Linked DNA regions of Arabidopsis thaliana. The protein of the gene in region 3 interacts with the protein of the main gene of each other region in a pairwise test. Each region holds a gene or a part of one and is shown on either strand. Other genes may lie near its edges.

What was found.
Region 1: the proteins of AT3G06435 (region 3) and ARL interact in a protein complementation assay, tested with the Arabidopsis thaliana proteins (one large-scale study listed by BioGRID).
Region 2: the proteins of AT3G06435 (region 3) and AT3G14860 interact in a protein complementation assay, tested with the Arabidopsis thaliana proteins (one large-scale study listed by BioGRID).

Annotation. Positions count from the first base shown.
Region 1 is NC_003071.7:18,233,068-18,239,771, forward strand, and holds ARL (ARGOS-like protein), read left to right. Parts: upstream 1-3,721; 5' UTR 3,722-4,269; intron 4,270-4,367; 5' UTR 4,368-4,658; coding exon 4,659-5,066; 3' UTR 5,067-5,106; downstream 5,107-6,704. Other genes in the region: AT2G44090 (Ankyrin repeat family protein), read right to left, coding at 5,615-6,427, 6,498-6,704. UniProt on the Arabidopsis thaliana protein: Promotes cell expansion-dependent organ growth, probably via a brassinosteroids signaling pathway. Acts downstream of BRI1.
Region 2 is NC_003074.8:4,996,597-5,004,384, reverse strand, and holds AT3G14860 (NHL domain-containing protein), read left to right. Parts: upstream 1-3,338; 5' UTR 3,339-3,490; coding exon 3,491-3,617; intron 3,618-3,732; coding exon 3,733-3,804; intron 3,805-3,906; coding exon 3,907-4,074; intron 4,075-4,349; coding exon 4,350-4,520; intron 4,521-4,648; coding exon 4,649-4,861; intron 4,862-4,975; coding exon 4,976-5,064; intron 5,065-5,152; coding exon 5,153-5,794; 3' UTR 5,795-6,081; downstream 6,082-7,788. Other genes in the region: AT3G14870 (hypothetical protein (DUF641)), read right to left, coding at 1-226; TBL41 (TRICHOME BIREFRINGENCE-LIKE 41), read right to left, coding at 6,774-7,074, 7,153-7,311, 7,405-7,580, 7,668-7,788.
Region 3 is NC_003074.8:1,967,488-1,974,508, reverse strand, and holds AT3G06435 (uncharacterized protein), read left to right. Parts: upstream 1-3,724; 5' UTR 3,725-3,794; coding exon of another isoform or gene 3,795-3,804; coding exon 3,805-4,407; 3' UTR 4,408-5,150; coding exon of another isoform or gene 5,151-5,168; 3' UTR 5,169-5,473; downstream 5,474-7,021. Other genes in the region: AT3G06440 (Galactosyltransferase family protein), read left to right, coding at 65-273, 345-623, 702-830, 935-1,111, 1,192-1,299, 1,390-1,596; AT3G06436 (uncharacterized protein), read right to left, coding at 3,513-3,560, 3,795-3,817, 3,897-4,104, 4,146-4,169.

The DNA.
Region 1 (6,704 bases), on a different chromosome or scaffold from region 3:
GAGTTAGAAATTAGTCGGTATTAAACCAAAAAAAAACACACACTAGTATAATACACTTGACCGCATAATTTTGCTTCCACTTGAAAAGTGAAGAAATCTATTTGACATCTTCCTTGGTCTAAACAAACAAGCAACTATTGAAAAAGTTCCTTATAGTGGTTTTTGAAAATTGAAAAAAAAAAACAAGAATGGTATTCTATAGGGAAATAGTGAAAGAAGCACATAGAATTGGAATTAAGATTGAGAATGAGATGTAACAAACAACAGAGCAGCCAGCCAGCCACCATCCTTGCAAACTTGGGTCCTACTCCTCCATATCAATTCCTCATTTCATCTTTATTCTTACTCTTCTCTTTAATCTTCTAATTAACAATTTTTGAACTTTTCATGTTTTGGTACATAACCAACGAAAAAAGAAACAAGTGACGTACAAAACACAAGAAGAAAATGAAATTATCTTAATTGATTCTGACCTAAAGAATTTAACATTTTCTCTTTCAAATCTTTTGTAGCAAGGGAGGTGAAACGAAAACGAATCATTAAGATACGTGCAATGAATCCAATAACCTCTATGACTAGCAGATGCATGAATTTTATTTTTGTGTTTCTGTTATGCATCTTTTTAGTTGCTTTTTAAGTCTGGTCATATCTTCGCTCAGACTTCACTGATGCAAAGCTGGATACAAAATCGACAAAAGTATATGTCCCCATATATTCCTATCTTTATACTGAAGAAAATATATACTTTAGCTTTATCTATCGCACTACTTTAGTCTTTAGAGTTGATTTATCAATTAGTTCCTAAATCAACTAATGCACATGATTTAATGTAATTAATTGTCTCTTAATTGTACGGATTAGGTGATGAAGATCCACCGTCCACCATGGCTGTAGTACCTAATTAATACCGTGTAAACTTTAAACCACGGGTATTACTTATGATTGTTATTAGAAAATAACATTAGCTTACCTCAAAAAAAATGAGGAATTTGTTTTTGATTTCTAGCAAAAAAAAAATGAAACCAAAAATGATTAGACGACTCTTTTGTTTGTAGACACAATAAATAATATAGAATTTTTGTAAGAAATTAATAGTTTAGAACAATATGCGTGTATTCAAAAAGAATATAATTAAGAATATTTGAAATGATTAAATACCAATATTATTATATTAGTTTATATTTTTAAATCAAATTACTCAATTACAAAAATAATACATTAGAAAATGATTAATTATATTTTTCTAAAGTGTTATAAAGACACCATTTCCTAACGGTATTGATTTTAGATAATAGAAAACAATAATTTGTGAGGAGAAAGTATTTAAAAGAAAACAGAAAAAGAAAATGTATAACGTAGAAGAAAGGTGGCTTTAGATTGGAGAGTTGTACGAGGAATATTAATAAGTCAAGTTGGTCGAGATATGCATTGAATCGATGGGAACGAGCCACGTGACAACGACATGTGCCGTTTCATCCACATTACATACCTTTTGAAATTATTGCTTATTTAATTCTTCTATCAACATTTTTTTTGCTTATACTTATTTTCTTCAATATATCTCATACCACTAACAATTAATAAAGGCTAATCTTAATAGAGAAATAGAATCATTCGTTTTAATAAACTCAAGTATATGTGATGAAACTGTGGGCATATCATATAAACTTGTTATTGAGCATAATAATTCATCTTATTATGTCCTACTATGCATTATGCAATGTATATAATATGAATTTTTTGTTGAATATTGTTGCAGGTCCACTATGTTCCACTAGACATGCAATCTAAGGGAGGGTTTGCGATGTTCAAGGCAATCATGCATGGGTTGCCATTTCTATATAGCTTTCCCTTTCTACAATTTTTTTCTTTCTAATTTTCTAAAAATTAAATATACACACACTATGGATGATGGATTAACCAATAGAATCCAAGGAATTACGAGTAAAAAAAACACCCTCCTATAGTTCACCTATATCTTATATCTTTCTTGGTTTTGGCTACGAATTGAAATCTTTTTCTGATTTGGATAAGAGATTGCGCTCTCTGTATACGTTCTTATATATATCACTATAATCAAATATGGGTTTTCTATAAATCTGTAAGGCATTATAAACATATGTATCAATATATTCTTAACTGACATTTAGATTGGTATAAGCAATGTTATTTACCTACATATTATCTATTTGTTTACATAGGAACTGGTGGCATCGATCCTAACCATAAGATCATGAATACAAAAAATCAAAGATATCGAATCAAGTACATATCCACAAGATAATTTGAATATCTTTTAAGATCGGGAAGATATCACTATGGTGTATATGCTATTTATATAACTGATCAGTTATATATAGTTGTTAAACTTTGTTCTAACAATTTAAAAGTCTGCATCATCTTTTTATTGACGTTAATTAAGTTTTGTTTTTGTTTAAAGCGGGAGGTGAAGTTTTGTTGTAATTATGTCTACTTGAGCCATTATAATTGTAGAATAGTAATGTCATTTCCATTGGGAGTTTAGCTAGTAGTTGACGAATAAAACCATTTCTCCTTTGTAAAAAAAAGTAGAAAAGACGTAATCAATAGATGTTATACATGCGATTCATTGAATTTGGATAAATAAGTATTTTGGATTGAAAAAAAAATAAAAAATGAGTAGTGGATTTTGGTAAGCTGTCAATTGGTTAATACCAGAACGGCTGAAACTAAACTGCTTGCGAAAATTATCATGTCCCTCTTAATTAAACACCCAACGAAAAGTACTTATGAATATATCCATTAGATATTTTAATTATTACATTTTTAGGCTGTTAAACAAATAAATTATATCGGTTTACCTGAAAGATAATGAATGAAAAAAAAAAAATCTTAATATATTATTTTATGTGTTTTTAAAAATAATAAGCTGTCTTGTATTTTTAACAAATAGCATTTTTAATATAGTACGATATTTAATACTATATCACTTTTTTGTTTAAATCATACTAAACAACACCTAGCCCTTTTTAAAATAAATAATAATAATAATAATAAGACCACTTATGTATCCTTTATGTATCATGTAAAATACAAAATTCCCTAATTATATAAATTTAAGTTGGCATTTCTTCTGACTATTAAAAGCATAAAACGAAAGAGAAATAAATATTGGACCAACTGTCCCACTAAAAACGATAATATGATATAGCCACCACATGAAATGCCGAGAGGAATAACAATATGGGTCATCATCGGTCGATAACACATAGACAACATTATTATTAGGTTGGAAAATTTAATTAATTCACACACATATACATATACATATTATACAGTTCTATGACAAAAAAAAAGTGATAAATGTTGAATATATTTGTCAAACTAATTTGGTAATTCACCGAATTCAATCTATTGATTATTGCTATCACTTCTCATATTCAATTTTTTGTGCGCGAGGAATTCGAATCTTTAATTAGTACGTTTCCCCGTCCATAGTTTCAATAGATTACAACTCTAAATGATTATATAAAACAAACAAAACATTATCATATAGAACAAAGATTATTTGTGATAACCTAAAATATTTATCTTATCTTTAATTATTTGTTTCTAGTATTATTAATGACTGATACTGCTTTATTTATTTCAACCAAACAACTTTGACTATAGTCTACAATAATACACGATCAACGTTATAAAAGTTTGGATTCGTTTTAATTAAAAACCACCATTGAATATTCCAAAAGAAACTGAAACCTCCATCTCAAACAGAGGCTTACCCCAAATAAATTCCATCCCACGTCATCATCAGAGAAAGTGTCTAGGGGAGAAGAACCACTGTGATTGTGGAAAGAGAGAGAGAAGTGTAAAGTAATCAAATAGAGAGATTTCAATTTTGTTCAGACCTTCCAGAATAAGCAGCAACTTGCCTCTCACACTTGTCACCCCCAAAAGAGAAAAAAAACATTAAAATTAAAATCTTATCATTTTAGAAAAATCTGTAAATTCAGTGAACCTTCCTCTGTTTCCTGTTTCTTCTCTGATTCCACAGTCTTAACCCCAAAAACATTATATTTATTTCTCTCATTATCTTTTACCATCTATTTTTATACCAATTCCTTTTATCAAAACCACTCCCACTTTATTTCTTCTTCTCTGGTTTTCTTACCAAAAGAAACTTTCTTCGTCTTCCTCTGTATTTAAGCTTTAACACCCTGTTTTTGGTTTCCAACGTTCAATCTTCATCTTCTTCTCGCTGAAGGTGTGTTTGGCTCTAACGGTTTAAAGGTACTTACTTTCGATTCTTTTGATTCATTCTCTGCTCATGTTTTTGATTGAATCACAACGATTTACTGATCAAAACTTGGACAAATTTTCTCTTGCAGCTTTCTTGAAACACCAATTGAATCTTTTCTCTCTACCGGCAAAAAAAAAAGATTAGTCCTTTTAGGTCTGGAAACGCCAAGATCACTCGTTCTAAACCTTAGATTTTGTCTGCATTTCGGGATAATCATTTCATCGTCAGGGTTCTTCAACCAAACTACATTTACAGAAGAAGAAGAAGAAGAAAAGTTCGTTACTTTTTATGCGTTTGGATAAACAAACTCAAGTTTCTTCTTCATACATCGATCTGATTTTCCAGATCAAACTTCGAAAAGAGAAAAAGCCTTCTTTAAATGATTCGTGAGTTCTCCAGTCTACAAAACGACATCATAAACATTCAAGAACATTATTCTCTCAACAACAACATGGACGTGAGAGGAGATCATAACCGGAAAAACACGAGTTTTCGTGGTTCAGCTCCAGCTCCGATTATGGGGAAGCAAGAATTGTTTCGGACATTGTCGTCGCAGAACAGTCCAAGGAGGCTAATATCAGCGAGTTACTTCAGTTTAGAATCAATGGTTGTGCTTGTTGGTCTCACAGCATCTCTCTTGATCTTACCGTTGATTCTTCCACCATTGCCTCCTCCTCCTTTTATGCTGCTTTTGATTCCTATTGGGATTATGGTTTTGCTTATGGTTCTTGCTTTCATGCCTTCTTCTAATTCCAAACATGTTTCTTCTTCTTCCACTTTTATGTAATAAACGTTTCTTTAATTGAAGAAAGAAATCCTTAAACAAAGGGAGGTTTTGTCTATTGTCATTACATAAGGTTTCAGGGTAAGAGATTAATATTTCATTTGTAAAACTTGTTTTCTTGATGCAGAATTATACAACTATTTATATAAATAAAGAATGATTAATAGTTTCATGATTTCATTTTTCTCATGGTCTGAAGCAAAACCAGGATGAGAGATTGGTACAAAATGTAAGAAATTGAAAGGCTTTCATTACAGGAGAGGAGACCAATAAGAGTCTGAGACAGAAGAAGTGAAATAATATGTAGATGAAATAATATAAAAGGCTTTGATTATCTCTCCCATGGTTTAGGATGCATAAAAGACAGATAGAGAGACTTTTGACAAAGACATTCTCATAGCAAGTTTGTACAAGTCTACAAGAACCCTTTTTCATCATCTCACAACCTGGATCAGAATCCATAACTATAGTGGAATGGTTGTTTTTCAGTTCTTATTTTATCAACTATTTAAAACGAGTTGTGTTAACTCAGATGCTGAATCCATTGTTGCTCAGTGTAAAGAAGCTTTGACCAAAAAAAGAGGAAGGTGATGCTCCAAGATGGTCATGAGCTGATGATGACCTTTCTTTACTTCTTCTGTGTCTACATCGAAGCCTTCAAGCTGTGTTGCAGCTTCCACGAGCTGTCCTCTTAGCTTTTGTGAGAGCAGCCGGCCACCCGCATCCACACACTCTCTGTACAGTGGCATGTAGGCGATTGCCACTCTCAATGGTGCTGGGAGATCCTTTAGACTTATTGCAGACTCTCCGAGTTTCAAAACTCTCATGAAATTCATGTAATTTTCCCGGCTTTCCTTCAATCCTTGGTTGAATGCAGCTTCTGACCACTGTTCTTGGAGAAACGATTTGAGGTCGGAAGGAACAGACTCGTCTTCTGACTTTGCAATGGTGTCTGCAACTGAATATGTGGCTGCTGGATCCCCGAGGAAATCTGATTTAAGGAGAAACTCTACTCCGTGGAGGGAACCACCACTTCTTTCACCGGCTGCTTTGAGGATTTCAATGCTGAGAGCAGTAAGGACGGGTCTTGGAACATGAGGAAGGAGATAAGCAGCAACCTCAACCTGGCTGCTTGAAGTGGCGGCTGTGAGAGCTAAGCATAGCTCCATTTCACGACAGCCTCGTTTCACAAACCATTGAACAACTTGCATGCAACCTCTCTCCGCTGCTCTCATCAAGGGACCCAAGAAAGCAATTGCATGACCTTCTTCTACAAGGCAATCCATCGTTTCGATTTTACTATAATGCGAGGCAAAACCAAGGGCTAAGTCAACATCCACGTCTAAGCTATTCCTTTGAGCAATCTGCACCAGGAAAAAGTTCAGTTAGATTGCACAAAGTAACTTGCAAGCAGTCATTAAGAATTAGATTTACCTGCAACAAGATGCGCACAAGTTCTGTGCTCCCAAAACGAGAAGCTTCAAGGAAGCACTGATTTACATTATCTGCGCCTCCTTCCACCAGCATACCGAGCAATCCATGTATGACAGTAGCTGAAATTCCAGAAGCCCAGCCAGGATTAAACGAGGTAGAGAACAGCGTAAGCGGGAAGCAAGCTGCATCAAAGGCTTCTGTGAAATC
Region 2 (7,788 bases), 3.0 Mb from region 3:
CCAGCTTGTCAAAGGACTCAGACAGATTTGCAGCATTCTTTGCTAAATCTTTATCCAACTTCACCTTTTCTTGGCTCTTCTTCACTCTTTCAACCTTGTTGTTACCTTCTGGAACAACACCGGTTAGCTTTTTCATGTTGATGACTTTAGCAAATGTGCGTCTGAGTTTTCCTTTTCCTGAAGAAACAACATCCAATGGTTTCACAGACTCCATCTGCAGATTCATCACCAATGCTTTAGTAAGATAACAAAAAAAAAAGTGAAGAAGTGGATGAATAGGACTTGTAACAATGTCTATATCGAACAAAAAGAGAAAAGTAAAAGCAAAATTAGATCTAGGACCATTAATAGAGCTTCACTTTGTAGACTTCTTTGGTTAAAACAACAAAAAAAGATGAAGAGCAGACAAGAAGCTTGAAGAGATTGTTTCACAAATGGTTCGCACTACACTTTTGGTCACAAAGGAAAGGAGGGAGATGTTTGCAATAAATATATATACACACAGAGAGAAAGAGAGACATACATGCTTAGATTATCTAGTGGATACAGCTTAAAGATTCAGCCAGAGTTGTGGGGACAATGTGGTTCATATATAAATGAAAAAAATGTTTTAATTTACAAGGAATAAACAATCAAGAAATGTCCAAGGAAGAAGAATAAACAACTTGCGTGTGTAGTACCATTTCTTTTCATGAACCGATCAACTTTTTTGCTTTCTTATTAATGTTCTGAAATCTTTTGCTATATATGTGTGTGGGGCTATTTAGTCAAATTGTGCTGCTATAGAATCAAACAAAAGTGAGAAAACAACATATAATAAAAATAACACCCAAATGGGTTTATCTGCAGAACACATGACACATGCAAATAATTCAACACCCCTCGTTCTTATTTTCTATTCAACTTTTTTCTGAAAAGGAACAGTCAAGAAAAAAGTGCGAAAGTGAATACAAAAAGAACTAATGAGTTTAAATACATATATATACTCAAAGTTGTTCATAAGTTTACAATTATGGGACACTGATAAAAGGATTAGAGTATTCAGGATTCATAATTGCTACAAACCAAATCAGTTAAACTAGAATCCAAGAACATAAAAGTGCCCCCACACACAAATACACACATGTCTCTATGTATATGATTCTCTTAAATGGTCATTTGATTCCACTCATTTGAAAAAAAAGTAAGACAGCCTCAAAGCCAAATATAGCTACCTAACATTTAGTACAGTCACAAGCTACTCACAAAACAACCATATTTCTCTATTTCACTAGAGCTTAGACCATAAAGCACACGGATTAAAGGAAAACTAATGAGAAGAGTTATGTTAAAGAGTGATAATAAACTCAGCAACATAACCAGTATTACTCCAGAAGGTCTAAATTAATATGGTTCTCAGGGTTTAATACAACTTTAGAAGCAAAGTTCATTTAAAAAGATTGTATTGAATTTACCTTCCAACAGTTCCAAGGTCTCTATCTTATCTATGTTTTGTTTGTTGTTCTCACTTCATCGTAGAGTGAATTTGAAGAAGCAAACTGGCGAAATGACAAACCAACCTCTGCTTAAACCCTGCAGATCAAATCAATCATATGAAATTATAAATCACTACCTACCAAAGGAAAAAGGATAAACACAGAACCAATATGAGACTAATATTCAAGCTGATGTGAATGCTTGACCATGGCATTATTGGTATGAATGATGGGATTGTAAGAGCATTCACAAGTCACAATGATATATTCATTTGATTGAAAATGAGAATATAAGAAACTGCAGAATAACAATGAAGACGAAATCATTCAGAAGAACAAAAGATGATAATTAATAAATATTGATTAGCTAACCAACCTGATCGATGTAAAAACACTCTCCCGGGCAAACCTCTCGGCGTTTTGCCTCTAAATTGATTCTTAACGACAATAAAATGGGTAACATACAAAAGATACAGATTCCTTCACGGTTTCAAGACAAGTCCGGAGCTCGAGAATGAGAAGAGGGGAAAAAGGCTTTAGAGTGACTGAGAGAGAGAGTCGTAGGAGAGGAGAAGAGAGTAATAAATGACAGAGAAGGGTGAGCCTAGGGAAGTTCAAAGGACATAGATTTACGTAAATACCCTCATGGTAAAGGGACATTTACACCGACATTGCTACTTTACTCCAAGAAACGTCGAAAAGGAAGTAGGGGTGTTCTCGGTATGTCAGGGAATAAGATGTTCAGACAGAACGCAAAATCACACGGTTTGGGTTGGGAATGAAACTACTTGGAAGCTGTTATTGCGTACGTACGCGAAGACCGGTCCGTCCGGTATGAGTGAGATAGATGAAAGACACGTGGCAAATTAAAAAAAAAGTGTAACCATTTCCCACATTCTCCTGAAAACGCTTTCTATTTGTTAACCCTTCTTTAGTTCCGTATTTAACTGCCTTGATGTTTATTTAATCAAACGAGAATTATGTAAGTTCATTCTCTATAAGTTCTTTTGTTTTTAAATAAGACTCTTAAATGTTGAACAAAAATAAAATAAGACTCTTAAATTATTTGTCAAGTTGCATAAAAGACAGCTGAATAGCAGTATTAGCTTTCACTAAATACGTGAAGCAACTCAATAAGTACAGTTGTCCTATCGATGAAAGCAAAATCAAGATTGAAAATTGCTAAGTCCAAAGTTTGAATCATCTTATAAGCAATAAGTAAACCAAATTAGTCTTGGTGGGCTTTAAATGCAAACTTTATAAATATAGAAATCGTGAGAATACATCATTCCAGTTATATTTGTACGAGTTATGAATACAATGCACTGATGCAGTGATGGAGTGGCATATGCATGTAATTTTATCAGTTAGTACAAAGTGAGTTAATTGTCCGTGTTTAACGGAAAGTAAAAAGCTTGAGAGACAATTCGATTTCAATTTCAAACCAAGAATTGAGAGCTATGAGCCTATGAGAGTATGGATTTGATAAAAAGGATTTTCTCTATTCACGACTATTCTTGATTTTTTTATTATGTATTAACGACTATTCACATACTATAAAGTTGCATATAATTTATTTACCTTATTTTGAAACAGACAAGAAAAAGGTATTGATGCGATTGGACATGTCGTAGAAGTGCTTCTGATCTGATCGGCTTTTTTTTTTTTGTTTCTTTACTTTAGTTTTGTCTTTTAGTATTCAAGACTTCTAGTGGCCCAGTGGCAGTGAGTATAAAGGATTTAGCACTCACTAAATGGGCGTATTGAAAGGTAAGAACCTTAATGGGCCTATTATAAGGCCCATAAAAAACACGAGTAACCCAATAAGGTAACTTTATGTTCGTTACACAATTTCTTTTCTTACTTTCAAAAAAGAAAAGAAAAAAATCTGTTGTCATCTGCAAATTGGTTTCATTCTATCAGTTGGTGTTGTGGTGTGTTGGAAGATGTGAATCGCCTCTACTAGGGTTCGATTCCAACATAAAATTGTACTTTTGGAAGATACAGAGAAAGAGATGGGCAAATCTCAGATTCTTCTAAACGCTGAGAGCTTTACTTGTTCTTCTTTCAATACTTTCTTCACTTTATGGATCTTCTTTACTCTTCACTCCTTTCCATTTCAAGCTCAAGCTGCTCCTTCTGGTAACTTTACCATACTTAACTTCGTTGCTTTGATCTATCTGCTTCACTCACTTTCTTAGTGAATTCACTCTTCAATTTCTGGTTTTTTATGTCAATTGTTGTAAATTGAATTTAGGTTCCTTGATTAAGCACATGTCATCGGTTCTCAAGTGGACTACTGGATCATCCTCTAAATTATCCCAATCAGGTAAATTCTCAATTAGTACGACTGAATTTGGTCGCCTTGATTGTTTGTTGTTCATAAACTTGGTTTTGATGTTTCTTTCTCTAACTGCTACTTGTGGTGCAGACACTAATGTTCTTCAGTTTGAGAATGGTTACTTGGTCGAAACTGTTGTGGAAGGAAACGATATTGGTGTTGTTCCTTACAAGATTCGAGTTTCTGATGATGGAGAACTTTATGCTGTTGATGAACTTAATAGCAACATCATGAAAATCACTCCTCCCTTGTCTCAGTGTAAAACTTCGTTCTCCACAAGTTCTCTTCTTTATGACTTAGTTTTTGCAGTTTTAAGTACATCCAATCATATACACATGCCATCGCAGATTATACTTGATACACTAACGATACTACTGTGATCTTTTGATGATCTTGGCTTGTAGCATTACATTTTCTATTTTACTTCAATATTCTGGTTCTTTATACTATATATGAAACATTTGATTTTCTCTTTCTTTTTTAGTGTTGGAGGTTTTTATGACTTTGTTTATAATCTATGTACTTGTGGGCAGACAGCAGGGGAAGATTGGTGGCTGGATCTTTTCAAGGAAAAACAGGGCATGCAGATGGAAAACCGAGTGAGGCTCGTTTTAACCATCCGAGAGGCGTTACAATGGATGACAAAGGGAACGTTTATGTCGCTGATACTTTGAATCTCGCCATCCGAAAGATTGGTGATTCAGGTATACAAGTTTTCTATAGGTTTTACTTACATCAGCACTCAAAAACTGAAATGGTTGCTTGTTGTTGAAAAATATAATTAAACTGAGAAGAATTGTGTTCTTAAGAGTCTGAAACATTTTTGTTACAGGTGTTACTACGATAGCTGGGGGAAAATCAAATATAGCTGGGTATAGAGATGGGCCAAGTGAGGATGCAAAGTTCTCAAATGATTTTGATGTCGTATATGTTCGGCCTACCTGCTCGTTGCTGGTCATCGATAGAGGAAATGCGGCTCTTCGCCAAATCTCTCTCAGTGAAGAGGACTGTGACTATCAAGATGATAGCTCAATCTCTCTAACTGGTAAGAAGTCAAAAACACCTCTTCCCACTACATAGATCATTTTGCATACACTCTGTTTAGGGGTGGATTTGAGAGTGTTAACAGAAGATCATTGCGTGCTTACATTCGGTGCAGATATACTCTTGGTTATTGGTGCTGTTCTCATTGGTTATGCTACTTGTATGCTCCAGCAGGGCTTTGGAAATTCTTTCTTCTCAAAGACGGTAAATTTCTATCTCTTCTCTTTCGTGCCTTTTCGCTTCTCATCAACCATATGCTACAAACAACAACAATTTCTGTTTTATCTTACAGCAGGTAGGATCAGAAACCAGCTATGAAGAAGAGCATCCAGGAAAAGAGAAACTCTCCCGGCCTGTCCATGAGAAAACAATAACCAAGGAAGAACCTGGTTGGCCATCATTTGGGCAACTCCTTACTGATCTCTGCAAACTTGCTCTCGAGTTTATAACCAGCCACCTAGTTCCAGCCCGATTCCAAACCAACCCCAATCTAAGGCCATTAAAAGATAGACTCATAATGCCTGAAGACGAACAAGAACCACCTCGAGTCCAAAGGCATACTGCCCCAGCACCAATCTCAGAATCCCGACATGCTCACTTACCTAAAGCTGATGATAGTTACCCTGAACATAAGACGCCAAAGCTAAGATCAAGTAGTGTAATGAAGGACCCTACTTTGTCATCATCCAAGCACCATCGGACATCATCAAAACGGCAGGACTATGCTCAGTTCTATGCCTCGGGAGAGGTTGCCCAACCGAAGATCCATAAAGAGCGGTCAAGGCGTCGTCATAGAGATAAAACAACCGAGACAGAACCAAAGCCAACACCATCAGATACGGTGAAGCCTGTGGAGTACAGTAATAGTTCAAAGTTTGATCATTACAACATGAGGAGCAGCAAGTATGGACCTGAAACTCCATTTCGATTCTAGAAAGTAAAATCACATACTCATTAGAACCCTTTTCTGAGTATGTTGTGCCCTTTCTTTTGTCCTTGGTTTGAGGAGATTCCTTATGTTTTCTTTTTGTTAGTTACTAAGAAAATCTTATTACACAGATGATGAAAAAGAGGTTAAAGGCTTTTCTTGTAACGAAGGATTGATGAATCATGACTGAAAATCTGATGTATTATGAACTTATACGATCACAAGAACAGGCTCTTCGTTACTAACTTGCTATTAACACATTCTTGCTTGCTATATATAGATCTTTGGCTGCTAGAGATAGGTTCCTTGCTAACCATGGTCCTAAGAAAGTATATATAATTGTAAAGAATCTTAGTCAAAAAAAAAAAAAGGAAAAAAAAATGAAGGGCCCTACCGGGTTCGAACCGGTGACCTCTTGATCTGCAGTCAAATGCTCTACCACTGAGCTAAGGACCCTTTTGTTCAACTCATGATACATTCATTACAAAAATATTAGGTGCTCATGATAGAACAGAGTAAAATCTATGTGTTTGGCATGGAGATAAAGAGAGTACGAATACGAATATGATTTTTTAAGATCGAATTTGATAATAACTTGACTTCATTCATACGAATATGATTTTTTAAGATCGAATTTGATAATAACTTGACTTCATTCAGTTCCATTTTTATAGAATTATTGTAGAGATTTGGTTGAAACTTTAATAATTGGAATGTGCTTTGTTGACAAACTATCGATCAGTTGAAAAACGACCTTACTAAATGAATTAGCTATAGAAGTTTTGATCTATACAGTTTCATATTGTGTTCACTTACACTACACGGAGGTAGGGTTTAGATTAATTATTTTTCTTGATCATTCGATTTCTTTAATTCTAATAACCTATGTATGATTACAAAATTCAGAAACGGACCTTTTATTCAGATTTAAATGATCAATCACAATAACAAATGCTATAATTGATGTTTCCGTATTTTATTTCTTTTACTCAACCATATAATTGTAAAGAATCTCATTCCAAGTATCCGGTACCCCAGAGAGACACCAGTGGCTGCAGTCACCGGAGGAGTTTCGCCCGCCTAGACCGTAAACCGAAGGATGAGCATCTTTGCGAAGCAACGAAAGCATCGTAATGTCTAGCAATGTCACCGGTTTCGATATTTTCCCGAGTGCTCTCTTCAAAACTCCCACTTCTGCTGGCAATCCTCCTGGATATTTTGTCCCCAAAAGTGGTTCCTTCTGTCCCACGCAACTCTTTGCCGCTGGTTCGCCCCACAGAACTCCTCTGGTAAACAACAAAGCCAACTTTTTAAATACAAGTTTCTTTAGTTGATCATCTTTTTAATCAACAAAATCAACTTACTTGTAATGAGATGGAGAAATTCCTTGAAAAAAGACTCTAGTTTTCTTAGTATTTAAGACGGTATCGACCCATTTCCCCCAAGTCCCAAGCGCAATTTCAAACGCGGCCACACGGTCCATGTCTTTTGTAACGTTAGTCCCTATTTGAATCAAATCCCATCTGCCAAAATTAACAAAACAAATCCAAACTTTGAACATTGCATGTAATTAAGCCAAAAACAAAGCATATTAATTCAGAGTTACTTGAACGTACGGTTGTGCAGGACCTCTCCGACTCCACCAATGCCAAGTATTAAAAATCAATGTATCCATCTCTACCCAATTTTTTCCATCATTGATCGAATCAAGCTTCAAAACTCTCCCAATCTTCTCCCTAACTATATCTACTAGATAAACATTCCTATCAAGCTTCAATTCCAGTCCATACTCCTGCAATTTTCACCACTCCGGTTTAGTTCATCCCGGTTTTCTATTCAACTTGACCAAAACAAGTGTAGATTTGGTAATAACAACTACCTTGAATGTGTAGGTTGATATACTACCTTGTGTGGTTAAAGTATACGTAGAATTTGGAACAGAGGAATGAAGCATACATGCCAACGATTGCCATTGATTTAGACTAAGAGAATCACCAACA
Region 3 (7,021 bases):
CATATCTTTTCTCTTGTATGTCATCTCGATGGATTGTTGAAAAGTCTCTTGGCAACCATTGTAGTTGATGAACTTCCTCTCTGCAACAAACAGACCGGTAGAATCATTTCGGAAAAGAGTTCCAACGATGATGCAACTATGGAACTTTCTCTTTCAAATGCTAATTTTCCATTTCTCAAAGGGAGTCCCTTCACTGCCGCATTGTGGTTTGGCTTAGAAGGTTTTCATATGACGATAAATGGGCGGCACGAGACTTCATTTGCTTACAGGGAGGTAAAGGATGACTATACCATGTTAGTTTTGAGGTTGTTGCTTTGTTTAAAACTGACATATCTAATTTTCAGAAGCTCGAGCCATGGTTAGTCAGTGCAGTCAAAGTCTCAGGTGGTTTGAAAATTTTATCTGTCTTAGCCACAAGACTGCCCATTCCCGATGACCATGCATCTTTAATCATAGAAGAGAAACTTAAAGCTCCATCTCTTTCCGGGACAAGAATAGAACTATTGGTGGGTGTTTTCTCCACTGGAAATAATTTTAAGCGGCGTATGGCATTGAGAAGATCTTGGATGCAATACGAGGCAGTAAGATCTGGCAAAGTAGCTGTTCGATTTCTCATTGGCCTTGTAAGTACCTCTGCAAGCTAACATTCCTCCTTGGATTTATACATATCTTAGCATTAACTTGGCGTTTCTTTTACTCAGCACACAAATGAAAAAGTCAATTTAGAGATGTGGAGAGAATCTAAGGCATATGGAGACATTCAGTTTATGCCATTTGTTGACTACTATGGTTTACTTAGCTTGAAAACAGTTGCGCTTTGCATTCTCGGGGTAAGCTACTAGTAGTTTACACAAACATAGAAACTATGAGATATCACTTCTTGCCTTGTCTTGGTTAATCCCTCTCTGATGGATGTTTCTCCATGTTGATACAGACCAAAGTCATCCCAGCAAAATACATAATGAAGACGGATGATGATGCGTTTGTACGGATTGATGAGCTCCTATCAAGTCTAGAAGAAAGACCGTCTAGTGCCCTTCTGTACGGTTTGATCTCATTTGATTCATCACCGGACCGTGAACAAGGCAGCAAATGGTTTATCCCTAAAGAGGTAAAACTTCTCAATATTTCTCACACCTCTGTGGGCTCTAATCCTCTTAGAGACTCATATATGGCTTTCTCTTTGTGAAGGAATGGCCTTTAGATTCATACCCTCCATGGGCACATGGCCCTGGCTACATCATCTCTCATGATATAGCGAAATTTGTGGTGAAGGGTCACCGTCAAAGAGATCTTGGAGTGAGTTTTGTAGTTTCATCACCATAGAGTTAAGATATAACGAATCCTAGATATCATAAGTGACGTTGTTCTTATGTTGTTTGTTGAAAGCTTTTCAAGCTGGAAGATGTGGCGATGGGGATATGGATTCAACAATTCAACCAGACGATAAAAAGAGTGAAGTACATCAATGACAAAAGATTTCATAACAGTGATTGTAAATCAAATTACATTCTTGTTCATTACCAAACTCCTAGACTAATTTTGTGTCTTTGGGAGAAGCTGCAAAAAGAGAACCAATCTATTTGCTGCGAATAAATCTCTCGAGCATGTACGTATGTAACTTTTCTGGTTCTGTTTCACACTTCAGGAAGAAGTTCTCCCAGTTAAAGACACACTGGCTCGAGTATGTCAGAGTATATTGGCTATTATCTGTCTTTGTAGATTCTCTCAATCAGCATATCTACAAACATATTCGAACCATAGTTTATAGGCCAGGAGCGTGTCAAAGGTGCCATTAGTGTCTTATTCATTGTCCTCGTAAACGTTGTTGCTTTTGTTGTATCGGGGCACACTTATCCGGATTTATCGATTATGCAATTGCCCTACTACATCACATTATTATTTAAATTTGTCTTCAAGTTTTTATTTCGCATAGCACATATATAAAGAAAACGCTTCGTTCAAACTCGTCTGTGAACTCCATAAAACTTATTAAAAAATCCGTCCAAAAAAATATATAGTATAGTTTGGATCGCATGAAAACATATCTAAACATAAGTCTTTGTTAGGGGTCGGATTGGGCCCTTCTCAAGTAGTTCATCAGCTCGCCCTTCTCAAGAAGCTCGTTAGCTCGCTCCACTTCGTCAAGCTCTTCAGATCGCCTTTAAGCTCTTCAAACTCGACTCGTCCTCAAGCTCCTCAGCTCGTCTTCAAGCTCTTCCCATCACTCAGCGACCATTTCCTCGCCTAGCTGTCAGCTAGTCAGCTCGTCCAACTCCTCGTCTAGCTATCAGCTCATCCCTCGTCAACTACCTGCCGACCTACCTCCAATGACGGCCTAGCTCACTTATTCTAATATGAACTACGTGTGGCTTGATCCCTTTCTAAGGGTACGTAGGCAACCTTTTACAAGGTTCAGCTATAAAACGAATAAACTCTATTCTTCCTCGGACATCAAGTTCGTCTTCCGGCCTCAAGCTCGCCTTTCATCTACAATCAGCTCGTTCTTACTCCATCTATGCTCGTTGAAGAAATCATCCTTTGTAATCCGTCCAATTCGCCTAAGTCGCAGGCTCGTCTTTAATAGAAAGATTCTTCCTTCCCTAGAGATCCCATTTTCGTACTTGTGTGATTCGTGCATCAACAGTTGGCGCGCCAGGTAGGGGGATAGCTCGAAGTGGCTTGATCCCTTTCTAAGGGTACGTAGGCAACCTTTTACAAGGTTCAGCTATAAAACGAATAAACTCTATTCTTCCTCGGACATCAAGTTCGTCTTCCGGCATCAAGCTCGCCTTTCATCTACAATCAGCTCGTTCTTACTCCATCTATGCTCGTTGAAGAAATCATCCTTTGTAATCCGTCCAATTCGCCTAAGTCGCAGGCTCGTCTTTAATAGAAAGATTCTTCCTTCCCTAGAGATCCCATTTTCGTACTTGTGTGATTCGTGCATCAACAGTTGGCGCGCCAGGTAGGGGGATAGCTCGAAGATATCTCTCAAAACTACGACCCCGCGACGAAGCAAAGTGATAACAAACAGACTACATGGAGCATTCGATACCGACTCGTCAGGCTCTGGAAGTAAAACGACAACGTCGATCCCCGGGAGAGCCAGTCACTCGACCTCTTCATTCGATATCGCAGCATGTTCTCCGACAAGAAAAGGACTTCAAGGAACTATCGACCCCATCATCCTAGGCGATGACACTTCCAGCCCGGCAGTCAGGACAATAACACTGACCAACGAGGAAGTGCCGCCGATCAAAGAGGAACATCCCATAACCTCATTAAACATACCGACCTCGTTATCACTCACGCCTAACCAAGAACAAGAGGAGAAGTCATCAGGCGGGCGTCACTTGGAGAACCTCGACGATGACACTCCCAGCTCGGCAGCTCGGACGATAACGTCAGCGCACGGGAAGACAACTCAAATAAAGGAAGAATACTACTCGGTATGTAAAAAAATTTTATTATTACTTTTTCAACCTAGTTATTTGCAGGTAAAAAAATCATTACTTTTTAAAAAGGCTAGCAGACGAATCAACACGGTATGCTATTAACTAAAACCAAAATAAAAATAAAACTTAGTGGTTTTCCAAAAATAAAAAACAGTGAGCGGATGACAGTTGTCAAAAGCAGCACATGGTTTTACTTACTTTCCCGGTTTAAAGAAAGAAGCAAACCCTAGTTTTAGAGCATCTTTCTTTCTTTCTTTCTTTTTCCCGTCGCTTTTAAAGCATCTTTCTTATCCGTCGCAGTTCATCTTCCTAACTCCATCTCTATAAAAGAAAAACCCCGGCAACAATGGCCAAAAAATCTAAGCGAAACCAAAATAATAAAGGAAAGACGAAGATTCCCCAGAGAGTTGAAGTGTTTGGTGTGAATGATCCAGTAACCAGATTTGGTTGGACTATCATGGCTTTTCTCTGCGTTTTTGGAGCTGTGGGTGCTGTGAATGCCTTGGAGATCCAGATGGATGTCTCTTATCTGGTAATGTTTGTTGTAGCTATCTATGTGATTCCAGTCTTGCATTCCATTTTCTCTGAAGCTCCATCTCCAGTTTACAGAGCACATCGATGGGTGAGAACTGTTATCCCTCTCATACTGCTTACCATAATCTACTTTACTGTCTTCAATTTCCAAACCCTTGCAGCATCTGTTTTGATCATATCAGTGGTTTTTGGAATTTTCGTGTTGGTTCAGTTGGTTTTCCCTGTAGAAAGATTTTACTTTTTTTATGTAGTGCTCATTTTGTTATTTGGATGCTGCTCAGCTGTATTTGCTGGTCAGTATGATCCCAAAACCCAGCCATTTGGGTTCTGCCTATTAACTCTCTTTGTTTTTGAAATGTTTTTCTACTTTTTCTACTATCCTGGGCCTACTAATAGGGCATTCAAATTCTATTAGATTACTCTCAAAATGATTGTCAGATCTAATTCACAAGAGACTTTTTTTGCATGTATAAATATCTGGATATTTAAGCATGACTTAGACTATCTATTTTTTTTTTTATAAATTATATTAGTTGATCTTGTTAGTTTGGTTAGGAAGGTATTAAAATATTACAAAGTGGATTTTTTTCTTAAATGACCGCTACACTGCTTATCTCGAATTTGGAATATTTCCATACTAATGTTTGGGAGTAGCCATATAGCCTATTGTTGGACTACCATCATAATATAAACTGTTAGGGTCTAATCTAGATTTTCGATATAAATGTGATATTTGTTTTAGGAAAGCTCGAACCCTTGGAGAGTGTTTTAGCACATCCCAAATCTCACTAATTACGGATAACTATGTATATATCTATTTTTAGATCTCTTATATTTGAAAACTAGCTAGATAGATTTTTTGAGACAAATCATTACCATTCAAAGCACCTCATATCTAACTAGATGAATGTGGTAGATGCAACTCTTTTTTTTTCTTTATTAGAAATTTAGGATACAGTCTTTATTAGTGAGACGCTATAACTCAACGGAATATTGTTGTGACCAACATTTACCTAATTCGTATCCTTACAATCTCAAGATGGCAGCATAGTAAACGTTGGATATATGCTTTATCTTCTTCTTTTTATATCCAAAATATATAACGTTGTTTACCGTAATGCCGTCGAAAATGAGTATCATAGGGGAACTTTTTTGTAGACGTTGACAATTCAGTAGGGACCTCAAGAATACAGAAGAAGGAACAAAATAAGGAATGCTTCTGATTCATTGTCCATTGACGAGAGAACTTATTGGCCTTTTGCATGTAAACTAATAAATACATATCTTTTTTTTTGTCTAAAAAATAAATACATATCTTAAGTGTCGTCTTTCCACTAAGCAGATTTCTCACCTGTGCAAATATTGTCCCTCTAAGAAAAACCTTTTCTTTATGTAAACATTGTCCCTAATCATGTTTTCCAATTATGTCTTGGATACTAGAAAAAATTCGAAAAGACACTCATATTTTTATATACATCCCAATATAAAAATTTTTATCCTACACTAGAAAACACATATAAAATAGAAATGGCGATGCATGTGAAGATATGATAAATTAAGTCTAGGCCTCCGTTATGACCCGAAACAAAATTTCTAAACCGACCGAGCCAGTTTTGAAAAGTATCCAACCCTATTAACTCATCATAAAAGTGTTTATTTTCTAATTTTCAGCTCAATATATGTCAATTCTTATAAAAGCCCCCAATATGAATACCAGTTAAAAAAAAAAAAATGAATACCAGTTACCACGCAGTTGCCCAACGTAAAACTACGATTTCTCTATTATAGCATTAATTATTAGTAAACAAAAATTGTGTAGACTATGATTAATTTAGGGTTTGAAAACTTACCTAAACATAAAATGAACAAGCGGATGAATTTTACAACTCCTAATACATTTGGTAATCATATTAAATTATTCTACTATATGAATTAAGCTTATTAAACTAAACAATGTCTTTATCCAAGAAGAAATTAAGTACTGATGATGCTGACCGGATGTCAAAAGAAAAAAAAAGTATTGACCAAAAAGTCCAAAAAAAATTGTTGCCGTTGGGGAAGAATCGCGACCTTCAATCCCGTCGCTGTCATCTTCTTTATATTCTTATTTTTTTATTTTTTATTTTTTACAGAAATCATCTTACTTTATATAAAAGACAAAATACATGCGCTTTTAGGGTTGTTTTATTGTTTACTGAAGGAGTAAATAAGTAAATGTTTATCTACAGAAAAAAAATTAAGATTACCACATCAAATTGTGTTACTTAGTACTATTAATATAAAATTTTAAAAAGGAAAATGATTACCACTACTCATTATTGGAATACCCTGGATACTTATTAGGTTTTTTCATTATTTGTTTAAAGTAAATTTTTTTGTCTGATTTTTTTTCTTTCTAAACTATAAAAATTCAAATAATTCGGGTCAATTCTGAAATTACAAAATACAAATTATGCATAAATACATGTAAACAAAAACATCATTTGTATGCTTCAATACGAACCTTATGAAAAAAAATCCATTGGTATAACTAATTAAATTAAAGTTTCACACAAATACAACTGAAAAAAAAAGAGAGGGACGAATGCACGTGCATAAACGACAAACAATGAATGAAAATGGTAAAAAAGATTTTATTTTTCTTATAAAACAACCCACGGTGCCACTCCTATTTCCTCTCGCTCTTCTTTCTCCACCATTTTCAGATCCATTTCTAAGCTTCTTCCTTTCCCTTTCCCTTTCTACATTGTCAATGGTTAATTTTGGGGATTTTGTTTTCGGGGTTTATCACTTTGTTTACCAGTTTGTTCTCCATCCCATTTACCAGTATGTTATGCGTCCTATCTTCCTCTTTGTTTACCAGTTTGTTCTCCATCCCATTTACCAGTATCTTATGCGTCCTATCTTCCTCTTTATATTGAGACCTATTTACTTGGGTATCAATAGGGTTTTGGGAGGGATCTCGTGGTTGTATGGGTTTAGATACACTCTGATGGTGCAAGGTATACTTTGTTACTGGAGAACGTTTC